Linked DNA regions of Bombyx mori. The protein of the gene in region 3 purifies or fractionates together with the protein of the main gene of each other region. This does not show direct contact. Links are inferred from orthologs where the notes say so. Each region holds a gene or a part of one and is shown on either strand. Other genes may lie near its edges.

Region 1 (5,590 bases), on a different chromosome or scaffold from region 3:
ATTTAACGGCTATCTTATTTTTGTTTTTTCTTTATTCGAAGTCCATATAGTTTGGCCACTTGGAAGGCATGAACCAGAATGTTGCAAATATAATGCAACTACTCTCCCAATGTCATGCACCCCTTTTAGGAGCAACACAATGTGATCATCTATTTCACAATGTGTTCAATTATTTGGTACATCCAAGGTTTAACAAAAAGTCATATTGAAATAAAAAAATATTTTAAATCCATTTCTTATAGTTATATGACTCATGGTAACTCTGAACTTTGCATGTAAAGATCTATTGAAGGTACTTCAGCTGTATCCTCAGTGTGATATATATAAAATGAAGAAAACAAGACAACCACAGCTGCTAAAATTTTAGATGATCGGAAAGTAACTTTTGTCAGTAATAACAATCCAAAATATGTTAAAACTCTTTTCTTGGCATCATTTACAATTTTATTTTTTTGAGATTCATTCAAACACATCCCTGATATTAATATGTCACTTTCTCTGCATGTTGAACAATTTTTTCTTCCTGGTCCTGTACATGTTTTGCAGGAATCATCACATTTTTCACATAAAAAGGTGCCTTCTTGATTTATACAATAATCATCATTCTCACATACCTGTGGCAATGCACACTCATTAATATCCACACAAGTATTTTCTTGCATTTCCCAACCATTACTGCATGTAATACAGTCATCTAAACTCTCTCCTGTACAAGCGGCACATGCTGCATGACAAGGTCTACAACTGGCATTTTCAGAAAAGAATTTTTCAGCACATTCTTCACATAAATTGCCAGAATATCCACTTTTACAAATGCAAGTTCCGTTGCCCTCCCTTGTACCATCTCCGTGACATTTACCATTTCCACTACAAATTTCATTGTTTAAATTATGTGGGCAAGGAGAACAGGATTCTCCATAATGGGACAGAGGACAGCAGTTTTGTAATTTCTGAATACACAGCCATGTATACAAATTAACAGTATCATGATCTTCACTGTAATACCAGTTTTCTAATACATTTTCAGCTACATCTGCTAAAGAGTAGCATTGATCTTTATTAGCCTTTAGTTCAGAACATAAACCTTCTTGAATTTCTACCAAACGAACCTCACTTCGTGCATAGGTTTTTAGTTTAGCTTCTTCCCAAGCAACATCGCCCCCTTCGTATTTTCCTCGTGATGTTTTTTTAAACCAGTAATTGAAGGAGTCTGTCAGAACTTTACATTGCTGACACTCATTCAATACATTAATATTTTTATCGGTTGATGGTGTACTAATTTCCTTACACAGTATTACTTGACAACTAAATAATAAGCACAACCAAAGATATTTGTAAGAGTTGGGGTCCATTAAATATTGAAAATTATTAAGCATCTTGAGATTCGTAGAAACTAGGTGTTTGTATTGTATTCAAGTTAATATTGTAGTCTTCACTCGCAAGTTGCAATTTAACAAACACCATTAAATTTAAAAATTGATTCAAATTTAAGTAGGTAAGCCAGCGTCACAAAGTACCTAAATCGAGTTAAGACTTCTCTTCTCTGTGTAACACAATATTGATTTTCTAGATTTACTTACTCTGCGCGTACCAGGGGGAGACACGAGACACCTTACTTAGTGACATTTTAAAAACCTGTGGAATGCCCCGGCGCGGCGCTTACATATTTGGGTTTTAAAGTGAGGGAATCCATACAGAGTCCCTTCTTTATTTCGCCGTAAAATCATGTTTTATGTAATTAACATCACAGTTGAAACAATCGGAGTTTTATATTAAATTAATATACATTATATTTCATTTTTCGTTTTTAAATTTTCGGCGGTAAAAAGGTCCCGTGTCACAGACTATCTTCTTTTTTCCACCTCTCGTACGCTCTGGCTTACGCATCACAAAAAAGTGCGTTCTTAAACGCCAGAAAAGTATGACCCACTTCTATTACTCTAACTTATAATAATTGTTTTAACAGAAATTGTTTTATTTATAGTGCGCGCGGAAGCGCTAGTCACCTCCTGAGGTATGTAATGTTGTTGTGTGATAAGGCCTTTCATTTTGGGAAATGAATTCTACTGTCAGTTTATGGAGGGTAGAGGTAAGGAGAACCGTCTCTGTGTGTAAAAAGTGTCCGTTAAAATCTGCTAAGTAAGGTTAGTGCTACAGTAACAACCGGGTAAATTTTAAAAAAGGCGCTGAAAGTTATTAGAATATGATAGAGGAAACTGCTCAATTCATATTATACCTCTGCCTATATGCTAGCGCCATTCTGGAGGATTTTTGAACTATTATTTAGTGCTGAAAGTGGGACGCTTTTTCAAGCTTCCTCCCATATGAGACGGTTCTCCTTACCTCTACCCTCCATAGTACAAAGTATAAAGTGTATTATCTATGGTATAGATTAGGCCAACATTGGAGACTTTTTGGCGGGAACGCGAGGAGTGAAGTTGTGTGATTTGTTTTATTTTGTCTATTTAGTGTTTCTTCGGGTTTAAATGTGTAATAATGGTGGTTTATTAACTTTTTAATATCTGTGAAAGTGCACAAATGTGGGAAAATGACACAAAGCCGCTGGACGTAACTTCTCGGGATCCGTCAAAAAGTCCACTGAAAAAATCTTAGTAAATGACCACCATTTTACTTTGATTATATTTCATCCCATTTCATTTCATTTAATTTCATCCCAGTTGATTAATGTCTCAAATTAATAATTTCATTTAATTTCACTCCTTAATATCATTTTTCATAAAAATATGAATATAAATTAAAATAAGACATGACTTAAAGGTCTCAGTTACCAGGTCATAAAATCCCATAAAAAAAGAAAAGCCTACATACATTGGCTATCGCTAATTTCTAGACATTGTAAAAGAAAAAATACTTTTTGTTAAAGTTTTGGTTGTCATGCTGTTGAGTACCAAGATTCAAACCTTTCCTCATTTCTTGTCCCGTATGTACATTAATTACGGTAATAATATGCGTAATATGTAATATTCACGAATGATTCAATTTGCTACAAAAATAACCTTAGCCTTGCGGAGTGTCGTGTTAGTTTCAATTTAAAATATTTTAAAACTTTATGATATCGACGTGATGGCTGATAAAATAAGGTAAATATGACTGTCTTATAAAAATAAATAACGTTTAACCATTTGGAATAAAATGCTATAAAACGAATAACACTTTTACATAAGCAAATAACACTATGCAGATAAGTTTTCTAAAGCACATTTCTCACCATCAGTTTAAATGTAGAGAATCACAAAATCAATTTTCTTATAAAAACTGTTCCCTTAAGGTTAATTTCTATTTTATGTTCATAACTTAAAATTTATTAGTGCCATACACTACTAGCACGTGAGATACTCTATGAATAATTATACTATCTAATTAAGAACTACCTTATAACCAGAAAACGATGTTTTTTTTCTTTCTAAAATAAACACTGCGATCTGATTGTATACATTACTGAATCTAGTGTTACCTCCCATTATTTCTTTAAATGTAAAATAATGTCTGCTTTAAGTAACAAGCTTTATTTATTTCAGAGATTATCTTTTTATCAATATAATTACGAATTTAAGGTGTAAACAAACAACCTAAAGTCTAAAAGCAACGGGTTACCTTTAAGTAACCAGGCATTCCATTATAATAAGAATATTAGTTTGTGCAATTGCTAGTCAGGGAACATGTAAAGATTTATTTACAACAGGTATCCTATTGTAAATAGGATTTATTTACAATAGGACCGTCTTCTGCTAGGAACCTAAACTGAACTTCTGCTAGGAGCCTAAACTGAAGGTTTTTATCCAAGCAGAGCTCCTTGTTGAATTTTCAGGAGTGTAAGGATGGTGTTTGTAAAATCCACCCCACTAAGTATACAAAATAGATGCAAAATGCAGATGTTGCATTTCCCATCACTTATTCACATAAGCCTTATTAGAAGTTTTCCTTACACTATTATGTGTGTTATAACAAACTCATCTTGTAATCATAGTTATTTCTGTATGCTTTATTCTGCACATGTAGCTTAATGACAACAAATCTATTAACGTCAAACGATGTGACTATGCAAAAAATGAATTTGCCAGTGTACCAATTTTCCTAAGTATATATGTAACTGTTGGTTGAATACACTCTGTATTGTAAGTCTACCTATCTTGACCATTTCTGGTGCAAACTAATCCCCTGTTTTATTAATGGGGAAGACAGGCCTCATATTATAGAATTTAACTTTTAATGTTATGTCCTATGGTGGGTGTGTGAATTCATGTTTTGTGTGGGCTAGGAGTACATCTGCTCACTTATAAAAATTTTAATATCTAAAAAGAGAAGCCTTTCAGTTGTTGTTTCAATATAATTTAGCCTGGCAAAAGATTTGATCTTACGACCCTAAAGTTGAGTAAATTCTGAAAGGCAGGCTGTATACTTTACACTGCATAAAGGCAATAGTTGATTCTTATTCCTTATTAGTTGTCACAACCAAACCACACATAATTATTATTTTTTATCATGAAATTTATCTACTTTTCAGAATAAATTCAAGATTTGACCAAAAAGAGAATTATGCCCCTTCAGATTCAGAAGATGGTTATTCTGAAAATGAAAAGCGATTATTGGATAAAGTACGTAAGAGAAAACATGAGTCTGATAGTGAAGAGGAAATGTATGCTTTCTCTGATTCTGACGAGGAATCAGATCAAAAGGATGATTTGGGAATAGCAGACAGTGATGTTGAAGGACAGGAAAAATCAGACGATGACTTACCTGATTCAAAAGCTTGGGGCAAAAATAAACAATCATACTATGCCACTGATTATGTTGACAAAGATTATGGAGGCTTCGGTGATGATGAAGAAGCTGCTCTTATGGAAGAAGAGGAGGCTAAGAATATTCAGAAGAGATTGCTAGAACAACTTGGAGATGAAGATTTTACCTTGGATTTCTTTACTAAACATGTACAAGACGCTGAAGAAAGAGAAACAGTAATAAAAAGTGATTTGAGCCAGTTGTCAAAAAGACAAAAGCTACAATTGTTTGAAAAGGAAAGTCCTGAGTTTTCAGGTCTTGTTGATGACTTCCAAACAAAACTTACTGTAGCTAAAGATAACCTACATCCAGTCTTGGAATTAGTAAAAGATGGCAAATTACCAAAATGTGCAGCATCAAAGTTTGTAAAAACAAACTATGATCTAATTCTAAATTATTGTACAAATATTAGTTTTTATTTGCTTCTAAAGAGTCAGCGAGTAAACATTCAAAATCATCCAGTTATAAAAAGGTTGTATCAGTACAGACAAATGTTGAATAAAATGGAACCGATATATTTGGAAGTAATTAAACCGCAAATAGATAAAATTCTTCTGGCTGTGAAGAACAACCTTGTTTTGGAAGTAAATGAACAAAAAGAAGCTAAGAAACGCAAGTTAGAAAAACTTATTTCAGAATCAACTCCCAAGAAATTGAAACTTATCAGTGCAATAGAAAAAGATGAAGGAGAAGACACTGGAGTATCTGATGATGAAGAATATGAAGGGAATGATTACTTTAAAGATAACGATAAAGTTGAAAATGTGCCAAGAAGTAATGAATCTGAAGA
Region 2 (5,605 bases), on a different chromosome or scaffold from region 3:
TATTTTTTTTTTTTTTTTTTTTTTTTCGGGCCGGGGGCCGAACCTCCTACGAGGTCCCCGCGCATACGGGGCGCGCGGGGTATGTGAGACTCAACGATCTGCAGGTGTTGAGAGCAGATCGCGGGCCCAAGGATTTTAGGACCCACCCACTAAACGACTCCCCTGCACTCTTACACCCGACGTCCGATCCTCTCCGAGGTCAGAACCCGCGGTCAACACTACAACCAGACGGCGCGGCTCACCCCAAGGACGCCCAGCCGACGGAGCCTTCGAGGCGAATCGAAGGCTCTGAAACGTCGGCCGTCTCGGTACGGCAGCCCGTCAGGCCGCCCAGACAGTGCCGCTGGTGCCCCGGAATACCCCGCTGGACCAGAACCAGCCTGCCGGGTCGGGACGCGATACACTGCCAACCGGTCGCTCTTAGTAGTATTAGATGTAGTTTGACCTGGCTTTGGATTTCGGATATTGATACTGCAGTACTGTTGACCCTTGCTTGTTAATTTAGACAGTGTTTATGCCTTGTGGATTTCGTCGATATGGCCGAACGTACGCAGAGAATTGTTCTAAATAGTCAGACACGTGAATTCAAAATTCAAATTCAAAATCATTTATTTCAACTTAGATGTCAGTATAACACACTTGTTGAATGTCAAAATATAAATAACAATGTTAACTCTACCACCGGTTCCAAAAGTCCTGAGAAGAACCGAAACAAACTCAGCAGTGAGTTCGTTATACGCCTTCGTAAACTATTTCGATCGTGAATCTCAAAATGAAGGGCCAATTTTACCTGTAACGTCAGTGGTTGAACGCGCAGCTGATGCGCTTAATATTGGACAACGAATTGTAAGACGAATAACTAAAGAAAAATATGGCGAAACTGGCACAGAAGAAAGTAAACTTAAAGATTAATTATATTTTTTTCGCGAATAAATTATTTCACATCACTATTGTAATATGTCAAAACGGCCATCATAGCGTGCCGATAGTGCAATGACAGAAGAACGAAGTTATAGAAGGTATAGATGTACATACAAACAACATCAAATAGTTATTTAATATTATCTACTTAAATACAAAATAAATAACAATAACGTTGTGTACAAATTCAGCACTTTGTCTTGTTTTGTCGTGCGCACAAAACTTATGTTGCAAGCCAGATTTTGTTTCTTTTTACTTGTGTTTTTATGTATCTTTTTAGCTTGTGATGTGTATTGTGTGCCTAATAAATAAGTAACTAAATAAAATATATGGATATTATGGATATAGGTATATATATAATTTAGTAAACATTATTTATTAGATTAATAATCATTGTATACCTTTATTTTACTTCTTTAAAATGGTTAAAATTTAAACGTTTTGTCATTTTTTATGGATCTCTCTGAATATTGTTGTTAATAGTACATCGCAAGATACCTGTCTTATCTTTTTAAGAATTTATTTAAGTAAAAACGCTTTGTTGGAGTTTGAATATGAAAGTAATGGCAGGCAACACTTGACACATGTAAGGTTACGGTTTTCGAATATTGGAATGCATAATTAAATGCTTAAAACAAATAATTGTCTTCTCTTATGTGATGACAAAAACTTCTCATCTAGACACGGTCAGAGCAACATCTTAGAGTTTTATAAAAATAAAATATTGTAATGGTGTAATAGTGTACAAAGTATTTTCAATATAATTACCTATTTTAACCATGAAGAGAGTGCTTTTAAATAGCCCCTCACCTCCAGAACCCAGTCCCCTCAAATTTGACCGTCCAACACGCTTAAAGATTAATTTTAGTGATAAGAGCGCCTCTTGTACAAATTAACTTATTTTCAATGAATATATTTAGGTTGGATGTGCAATAACTTTATGTTTTCTTTTTTTCTCTTTACAAAACATAAATACTTCGTGGAAAAAGGGTTTTTGAATGAAATTATATGAGCGCGAATAAAATACAGTCATGGTTTCATTTTATACTTGTACATTTTCACAAATTTTAGAGGTTAATAGTAATAGATTAATAGTGGGGCATTCTAAAAAATGACTAAAATGTTTTGTTCCAATAAAATCATTTTGGCCGTATTTGGGCTATGTTCCCTTTGCGTGTCCGTTGAATGAATTCAATAAAAAATATATTCCATGTGAGTGCTCCCCTTCCCCTCTCGGATATAAGTGTTTATTTTATGATATTACGAGCCTATGACTTACTTAGTACATATAATAGGTAATAGGTACCGTATTTAAGTAATAATCACTGAGCCAGTAATCACTACCGTACGTAATAATTACCTACCAATCATCTGATTCATAGTCATAGTTAAGACTCGAATATATTAAGTGTATAAATCTTTGGTTATACATACACTTGTTGCACTCTGAGATATTATGTTTAATACCCATGACTTGTTGACTTAAAATAATGAAGGGAAAGAAATACTTTGGTAAAAAGAAGACAATAAAAGACCACATTAGTAAAAAGAAAAGAAAAAGTTCCAATGATACATATGTTACAAATAAAAAGGCTAAATTCAATCGATACAAAAATGTACAAAAGGTTGAGGAAGAGCTTGAAAAGAAAAAGCAGATGGAACGGAAGTTTCAAAGGGAACAAGAAGCTTATTCTGAAAGCGAAGAGGAACAAGATGTATACGGGCAACTGGTGTCTTGTTTTAGTAAACCAACAAACGCAATAGTAGTAAATAGTGACGAAGAAGTAGATTCTGATAGCCCCAGCCCTGAAATTGAAAGTTGTGCTCGTAAACGTGCTCGAAATGAGGAAGTTAGTAAGACCGAGAGTGACAGTGACTATAGTGATAGCGAAGACAATGCAAAGGGCCAAGATTTTGATAACACTGTAAGTCAAACTTGTTATATTCTCTGATTGTTATAAGAGACTTTATAAAATAAATTGTAAAGTAATGACATTGAATTAGTTCATATTTGCAGGTTAAACGTCTACAGAAAAAAGTTCTTAATTTTTCATTCATTTCAGGCTACTTTTGAAACAGAATTAGACCACGAAACTGATGATTCGTTCGTAAAACATCTACAATATGATTTACCTGATGAGTTGCTGATTTCATTAAACAACTCGCCCATGACAGTTTCTACTATTTCAAAGACATGGCCAGTGATTGGTAACATAACTATTGTTATACCTAGACCAATTGAAACAGCAATAAAGAAAGTTAAAGCTAAAATATCATTATTGGAAGATAAAACTTTTGCTGAACCCGGTACAGCACCTAGTCTTATTCACAAGGTTGATTTTGAAGAATTGAAAATAAAATCACAAATACATGGAAACATTGTCTCGGCGAATAAAACTAGTTTGGTAAAGAGAGATCTTGAACTATCTGAAGTTTTAACTCCATTACAAAAAGAAATTTTTTCAATACTCAACAACTATCAGGATTTGTATTACCCTGAAAGAACATTTAGTAATGCTGATGAAATTCGTTACATATATTGTCTTCATGCCATCAACCATATGCTGAAGACCAGAACACGAATTTTACATCATAATGCGAAATTGATAAAGAAAAATGATATTTCCGATGATTATAGAGATCAAGGATTAGTTCGTCCCAAGGTAATAGTTTTAGCAACTGACAATTTTTTTATGGTTTTTTGAAATGAATCTGATAATTACAGATATTACACTTCTAGATATTTTACTAATTGGCATGGCAGCTTTTGTGAGGTCAACCTGATGTTAAATGCATACTAGAGCCCATAGACATTAATGTGAATGCCTCCACTGACACCCCACTTTAAGGCATAAGGTTATGAACATAAAGTCTCAATCAAACTGTATAACGGCAATCCTACCTTGGGATTGCTGAACTGCAGAAAATAGGCAAGATAGTTGTGTCTAAATGTGTGGGCTTACAGTACTTTTTAAAGCCAAGAAACACACAAATTTATAAGAAGTTTTCTAAGGCTGTTCCCCTGCTGGCATTGCTGATATCCGTGAGCGACGGTAACCACTGACCATCATGTGGGCCGTGCATTCGTCTGCCTACAAAGGCAATGAAAAACTGAAAAAGTCTGACATAATAGAGTAAATAACAGCATGGGAATAACAGCACATCAAACTGTTGTCTATATCCAAAAATCTTCAAAAGTATTTGAAGGACACACAGAGTAGATAGACCCTTATAAACTTTGCTAAGAGACATGAGGAGGCTAATTTGAGCTGTAACTAAAGAATTGATCTTTCGGCTTATATAGGCTTGCAGTGTATAGGCCACTCGGTTCCCTTTATTAGTTGCTGAAAATTAGCAGTTGGCTTGAAGGCTTAATTATTATTATTATTAACACTTTATTTCAGTGTTTTTTTTTTTTTTTAAAACCATAACATTTTGTTAGTAATAATTACTTATAATCTATGTTAGTAACTTAAAAAATGAGAGGGGCGATAGTGGTGACCGTATTGGAGTTTATGGTCTGAGCCAGTACATAATGAGATAATTCAAAGGTTGTGAATCCTTAGTAACTCCTCTTTTCACTTTTATTAAAGTTCTTGTTGCTTAAAATTACTCTAATTTAACATTGTAATATATTTTCAGAACTAATTTTACCATTTAAAATTGGGATTATTATTTTCATTTCTAATATATAAATGTAAATACATAATAACAAAACTACTTTTACAAATTAGTTTGAGATCTAGCTAGCCTTAATTATGTCTATAATTATGAAAATACTGAATTTGTGTTGTTATGTTTAATAAGTTTGAATTGCAATTAAAATACATCTCTAATTTTAAGGTACTAGTAATGGTTCCATTCAAAAATGCAGCTTACAGAGTAGTGAAAACCTTAATGGAAATTTTGGTGCCAAAAGAGGCTGGTCAGGTGCTCAATAAAAAAAGATTTGAAGACGAGTTTACAGGAGGTGAACTTATCATGCCACGTAAAAATCCAAAGCCTGAGGACTATGAACTCATGTTCACTGGCAACACAGATGATACATTCAGGATAGGCATGACGGTCACCAAGAAAAGTCTTAAGGTAAACCTAAATTTATCTGTGCAAAGTTAATTTTGAGTAAGAAATCTGAACAGTAATAAAGGTAATACAAAACATAGCATTCACACATTTCACATAAAATTGTCAACACAGTATATTTACCAAAGACATTTCATTTAAAAAAATATACTGCATTTTTTCCTTAAATATGCATCAGTATATGTTGTCCCTAAATTTGTAAGTATGAAAAAGTGAAAGCGAATAATTAATTGGTACACAACAAATTTGTATATTTATAATTGTTTATTAAAATATTTAAATTTCAGTTTGTTTCCCATAATCTTGTTTCACAAATGAAGTTAGTAATGTGGACGGGACTGGATGTAAAATTAATGATCAGATTGTAAATTAATTTAAATTATCAGTTATATACAGATTTTTACTCATCAGACATCATAGTCGCATCACCACTTGGTCTACGAATGTTGGTCGGAGCTGAAGGGGAGGAAGACAGAGATTATGATTTTTTGGCTTCCATAGAAATTTTGATTATGGATCAAGCGGATGTGTTCTTAATGCAGAATTGGGATCATTTGCTACATGTTCTTGACCATTTTCATCTTCAACCAAAGAAAACGCA
Region 3 (4,796 bases):
ACATCCCCCAAGCCCTCCAACTACGTTTTTGCTGGTTAGCCAGCGGAAGCCCTTTCACAATAGCCGCCGGTAACTAATACCCGATCTTCCAGACTGAATATTAAACAGTCGACGTCGTCTCAAAACCCGTAATTTCTGATCCTCCCGATCCACTAACGGTGCTTTTAGGTACCTTAAGCACCGGTAGCCGTTCTCGTCGAACCCGTCGCTCACGTCGAAGGGTTTGGCGAGTAAATTAACCCACAAACACAGCTCACTGAGTTTCTCACCGGATCTTCCCAGTGAAAGGTAGGAAATCTCAGAAAGAAAAATAGAATGAAGACACGATCAGACTTGTTGTGAATAAAATTTATCTGTCTACCTGGTTTTAAGCGATTATCGTAACAGCCCTCTCCGGTGTTTCGATCACATGAGTACTTTGCGACAAAACTAGGCCAGGTAATTCGTACCTATAGTTTTATAAAACACATAATATCTTCATATCCTGGGCTTGTTTCGCGAAATCTCTAAGCTGTTTATTTAAACAGCTTAGAGAAAAAGAGAGCTTAAATAGCTTAGAGAAAAACAAAAATATTTATTTTAATTTAGTGTTTCTTCACTTAAAAACAATTTTACTGAGAGCATATTTGATCCCATCTTATCTCGTTTCATTTCATTTCATCACAATTCATTATAGTCCCAAATAAATAAACTCGCTTCATTTCATACATAATAATATAATTCTCCACTCTTGTATATTTTATTTAACAAAAAATTTAAAAGATGGCGAGTATGGTCTGATACCTTCGCCTTTCCAGCGCGTAGAACCACTCAGTTTTGACCATAGACCTATATAGTAGGGACACGACATATTGTTCTATACGTACAATTGCTTATATAAATAGCACCCATTTTGAAGGCACATACATAAACATATATCTATCTCGTTCTTACTCAGCACTTTAACTCGCAGGAAAACAATATAACAGTATTTCAGTGCGTACATAAAATGAAACATGAATATACGTAAATATCTCCGTCTCCGTCTAATGAGGCCGAAAATCCGCCATGTTTAGCGCGCCAAATGTCATTGTCACGTCAGTTCGGCCGTCTGTTTTGGGTTGTACATTATTTATTGACTTTGATATCGATTTAATATGATTGATTATATAAAATTTCATAATTTATCATGCTTAAAACATACAAAAATAATAATTAAAACGTATTTTATAGGATCTCAAGAAAGTCGATGCCCTAAAACTATTATCTATATGTATTTAAATTCATTATGGAGCCCTCATCCGAAAAATCCATTTTTCGGTCGGAATCTATTGATCATGACACTAATCATAAATACCACTTTAAAATATGTCATCAAAACATATTTAGACATTCTGTTTAGATATTTCGGGAAAAAGGCTACCGACAAAATCTCTTCGGAACTATTTAAATAAAATAGTTTTATTCCGCAGTGAGGAAAACACTATTGTAAATTTGTTAAATATTTCATAATTAAGTGATTCTAGAGAGGAAGTCACAAGGAATGACGTTTGTAATTAATGAATAAATGTTCTGTAGGTGTTTTTTTTTTCACGCGGTCCCTTGATAAGTTTAAAATTTGAATCACTCTCAAGCGAAAGTGATTCAAATGGTGCGGCGCACCTTCCTTGGGGTGCGCTGCGGTAGTATGTTACGGACTTTAGAGTCAGCAAAACAATTAAAATAGATTGTTATAGCCTAAGAAAAACACAACTCAAAATACGATAACATTTAGCATGCTAGAAATGGGCTGATGGCTTTGAACTACGCCATATCTTTATGTTTTGCGACAAACGACAACTTTATAAAATCAATGTAGCAACTTTTAAAAATCATCATATCGTTTACTTGGCAAATTCGAAGGACGAACTTGTCTTAGATTTCACCCATCTAAATCATATCATATTTGCACATAACAATATACCTACTTACTTCCCATTAAAGTATAAATTCTACAAATAAATAATACTCAACAATATTTAAAATAAAATGAGCCAAGAACGTTTATCGATAAAACCTGATAACATTGAAATCTTTTGTACAGCACTAAAGCCGCCATGTTTTGTGGCCAGATGACGTCACAGGGGCACGAAATTTTGGTTGACGTTTCATTTCCATAGGTTTCCTACTTCATTGGTTTTGACAAACGACTTTATAATCAATGTTCTGTTACATTTTTTATTTTATTATTATTTTTTATATAAGCAGAAACACTACATAACCTATATCCTTGTGCTCGGTGTTCCCAAAATGGTCAGAAAACTTAAATTTCATGAAGGGAAACTGCTAAAGAAAGTAGACTTTATATCATGGAAGTTGGATAACAATATTAGTGAAGTGAAGGTTATGAAAAAGTTTTGTATACAAAAGCGTGAGGATTACACAAAGTAAGGCAATTTTGCAATTATGAGCTATGTATTATATTATGAGACAGCCAGTTTTATTTAAATGAAATGTCTGAGACTTTGTTAATAGGGAATATCGGTCGTTATGCCTAAATTCTAAATTCAGCACACTGAAGTCGTATTTGAGTCAAATATTTTACTTTAGTATCCTAAATTTACAACTGGTTCTACAGGAGGGTTCCACAGAAAGCGGGAATTTGGCCGCTTTAGATATAAACTGTCCATTAATTGATGTAAAATACAATTAATAATAAATCTAAAACTATTATTGTGTGAATTGTTAGGTATAACAAATTGTCTCGTGATATCAGAGAGCTCGCAAACAAGATAAAAGACCTCGATCCAAATAATGAATTCAGGACAGAGTCAAGTGCTCAACTTTTGGAAAAACTTTACCAAATTGGATTGATACCGACAAGATGGGATCTTGCCTTGGCCACTAATGTCTCTGCCAGTTCTTTCTGTAGGCGAAGGCTGCCTGTGTTGATGGTTCGAAGTGAGTATCACTTGTTTCAATAAACATTACAATAACATATTTCTTGGAATTTGCATTTTTATTAATAAATGTCATTTATAATTATTGATGTTTATAAATGCACAGATAAAATGTCAGAAACTATTAAAGAAGCCACAAAGTTTATTGAACAAGGACATGTAAGAGTGGGACCTGAAGTAGTGAAGGATCCTGCATTCCTTGTCAACAGATCACTGGAGGACTTTGTTACATGGGTTGATGGTTCAGCAATAAGAAAACATGTTCTGGAATATAATGAAATGGTTAGTATACACAATACACATTCATTAAACTTTTTAATGTTTATTCATATTTCTAAGTTTACTTACATATTGATAATATAATTGTGAAAAAGCTCTGCGTAGAGGTTTAGAATAGTTGTGAAAAACAACTTTTGTTAAATGGAAAGCAGTAATGCATTAAATAAATTTTAGAACTTGTCCACAGCATAATGTCACACTGGTTTTGATATGAAATTAAAAAAAAATGAAAACATTATATAGGGATCAATTATTTATAACATTGTCATTAACAAAGACATGGATGTGTTTGCATAGATAAAACGGAAGAAACTTAAACTAATATTTCTTTTTTTTTCTTTTACAGAGAGATGACTTCGATATGTTATAATTTTATATAAGGCTTTAGTTATATAAGAATACTTATTTTAAGATTCTGTACTGTTACCACAACAACAAGTGAAAGTACCAATACACTTTTTAATGCACACTATTTTAGTTTAAATTTTTATTTCGCCTTGAAGTCATTTTTATTTAAAATATAGATAAATGATTCTTTCCTTTCAAAGAATCATAAAATACATACATTCCTTTGTGCTCTATGTATAGTATTCCACCAATATAACTTGTTTAAAGTGTAACTTCAATGATCTTAAGGTAAACTTCATTTAATACAGGATCTACCAGTGTTGATGGTTTACTTTAAATATGATCTGTATTGTAACCATTTTGATCATAAGCTATAAAAATTTACAATATTTGTTGAAATACAACAAAATCTAAGACATCCTACCTACCACCAGTAATTATGCAAATTATAATTTTCTGGGTTTGATTTATAATGATCTGCTTTGAGTTTCATTATTTGCAATCTCAGAACCATAAAATGTTTGCAGCAAATCTCAATTAGATAATCTATGACCCCACTAGATACTCTAACTTCCAAGCTGTCACAAAAGTTGCTAACTTTATTTCCGCAGTTCCGAAGTTTGACTTTTAAAAATACGTTTGTGTTGTTTTCCTGCCTATGCTTGAGGGGTTATGCCAGTTCAACACCGGGCGAGTAGGTGAGCTTACGGGGCTCTAACCTGACGAAGTTGCTAACACTAGCTCTGGCAAGAACATGGTTTCGCAGAATCTACCACCGGATCGGAAACGCGACTCTCTGAGAAGATCCGGAGAGAAACTCAGTGGAATGTGTGTGTCTGAGGGTTAATTTGCCGAGCCCTTAGTCGCAAGCGACGAGTTCGACGAGCACATTGACCGGTGCTTGAGGTACCTAAAAGCGCCGATAGTGGATCGGGAGGATCCGAAATGCCTTGATACGTTTGTGCAATTCACTGTGGCGTTTCAATGCCCACATGTTAGCAATCATCGATGTGTCGCTAGAGACACATTAATCCCCTTATGGATATTAATCATGTCACACACACTTTGAAATTTTTATGCCGTAACTTATCGCGGGATTGTTTATAATTTATTTTTCTTTTAGGTGTAGGGAATCCTTCATTATCACTTTCTCCAACCGATTATTTGTTTAGCTGAATAACCTTGAATTAATACGACCGAAATGTGTAAGGAAGTTACGTAAAGATAAGAATCTCACAGTGCTACCGCAAT

Evidence for each region.
Region 1: the proteins of U3 small nucleolar ribonucleoprotein protein IMP3 (region 3) and something about silencing protein 10 purify together in Homo sapiens (affinity purification with mass spectrometry; 3 studies listed by BioGRID and IntAct, with this or other methods). This does not show direct contact. The link is inferred for Bombyx mori from reciprocal best matches to the Homo sapiens genes IMP3 and UTP3.
Region 2: the proteins of U3 small nucleolar ribonucleoprotein protein IMP3 (region 3) and U3 small nucleolar RNA-associated protein 25 homolog purify together in Homo sapiens (affinity purification with mass spectrometry; 3 studies listed by BioGRID and IntAct, with this or other methods). This does not show direct contact. The link is inferred for Bombyx mori from reciprocal best matches to the Homo sapiens genes IMP3 and UTP25.

What each region holds. Positions count from the first base shown.
Region 1 is NC_085114.1:10,761,688-10,767,277, forward strand, and holds the start of something about silencing protein 10, read left to right. Parts: upstream 1-2,107; 5' UTR 2,108-2,144; exon of another isoform or gene 2,145-2,469; 5' UTR 2,470-3,084; coding exon 3,085-3,101; intron 3,102-4,525; coding exon 4,526-5,590. Other genes in the region: protein disulfide isomerase Creld2, read right to left, coding at 252-1,376. UniProt on the Homo sapiens protein: Essential for gene silencing: has a role in the structure of silenced chromatin. Plays a role in the developing brain. Part of the small subunit (SSU) processome, first precursor of the small eukaryotic ribosomal subunit.
Region 2 is NC_085131.1:5,807,177-5,812,781, reverse strand, and holds the start of U3 small nucleolar RNA-associated protein 25 homolog, read left to right. Parts: upstream 1-2,122; 5' UTR 2,123-2,411; coding exon 2,412-2,846; intron 2,847-2,984; coding exon 2,985-3,584; intron 3,585-4,764; coding exon 4,765-5,007; intron 5,008-5,390; coding exon 5,391-5,605. UniProt on the Homo sapiens protein: Component of the ribosomal small subunit processome for the biogenesis of ribosomes, functions in pre-ribosomal RNA (pre-rRNA) processing. Essential for embryonic development in part through the regulation of p53 pathway.
Region 3 is NC_085121.1:981,950-986,745, reverse strand, and holds U3 small nucleolar ribonucleoprotein protein IMP3, read left to right. Parts: upstream 1-2,268; coding exon 2,269-2,405; intron 2,406-2,707; coding exon 2,708-2,919; intron 2,920-2,958; exon of another isoform or gene 2,959-3,024; coding exon 3,025-3,200; intron 3,201-3,266; exon of another isoform or gene 3,267-3,396; intron 3,397-3,543; coding exon 3,544-3,567; 3' UTR 3,568-3,666; downstream 3,667-4,796. UniProt on the Homo sapiens protein: Component of the 60-80S U3 small nucleolar ribonucleoprotein (U3 snoRNP). Required for the early cleavages during pre-18S ribosomal RNA processing. Part of the small subunit (SSU) processome, first precursor of the small eukaryotic ribosomal subunit.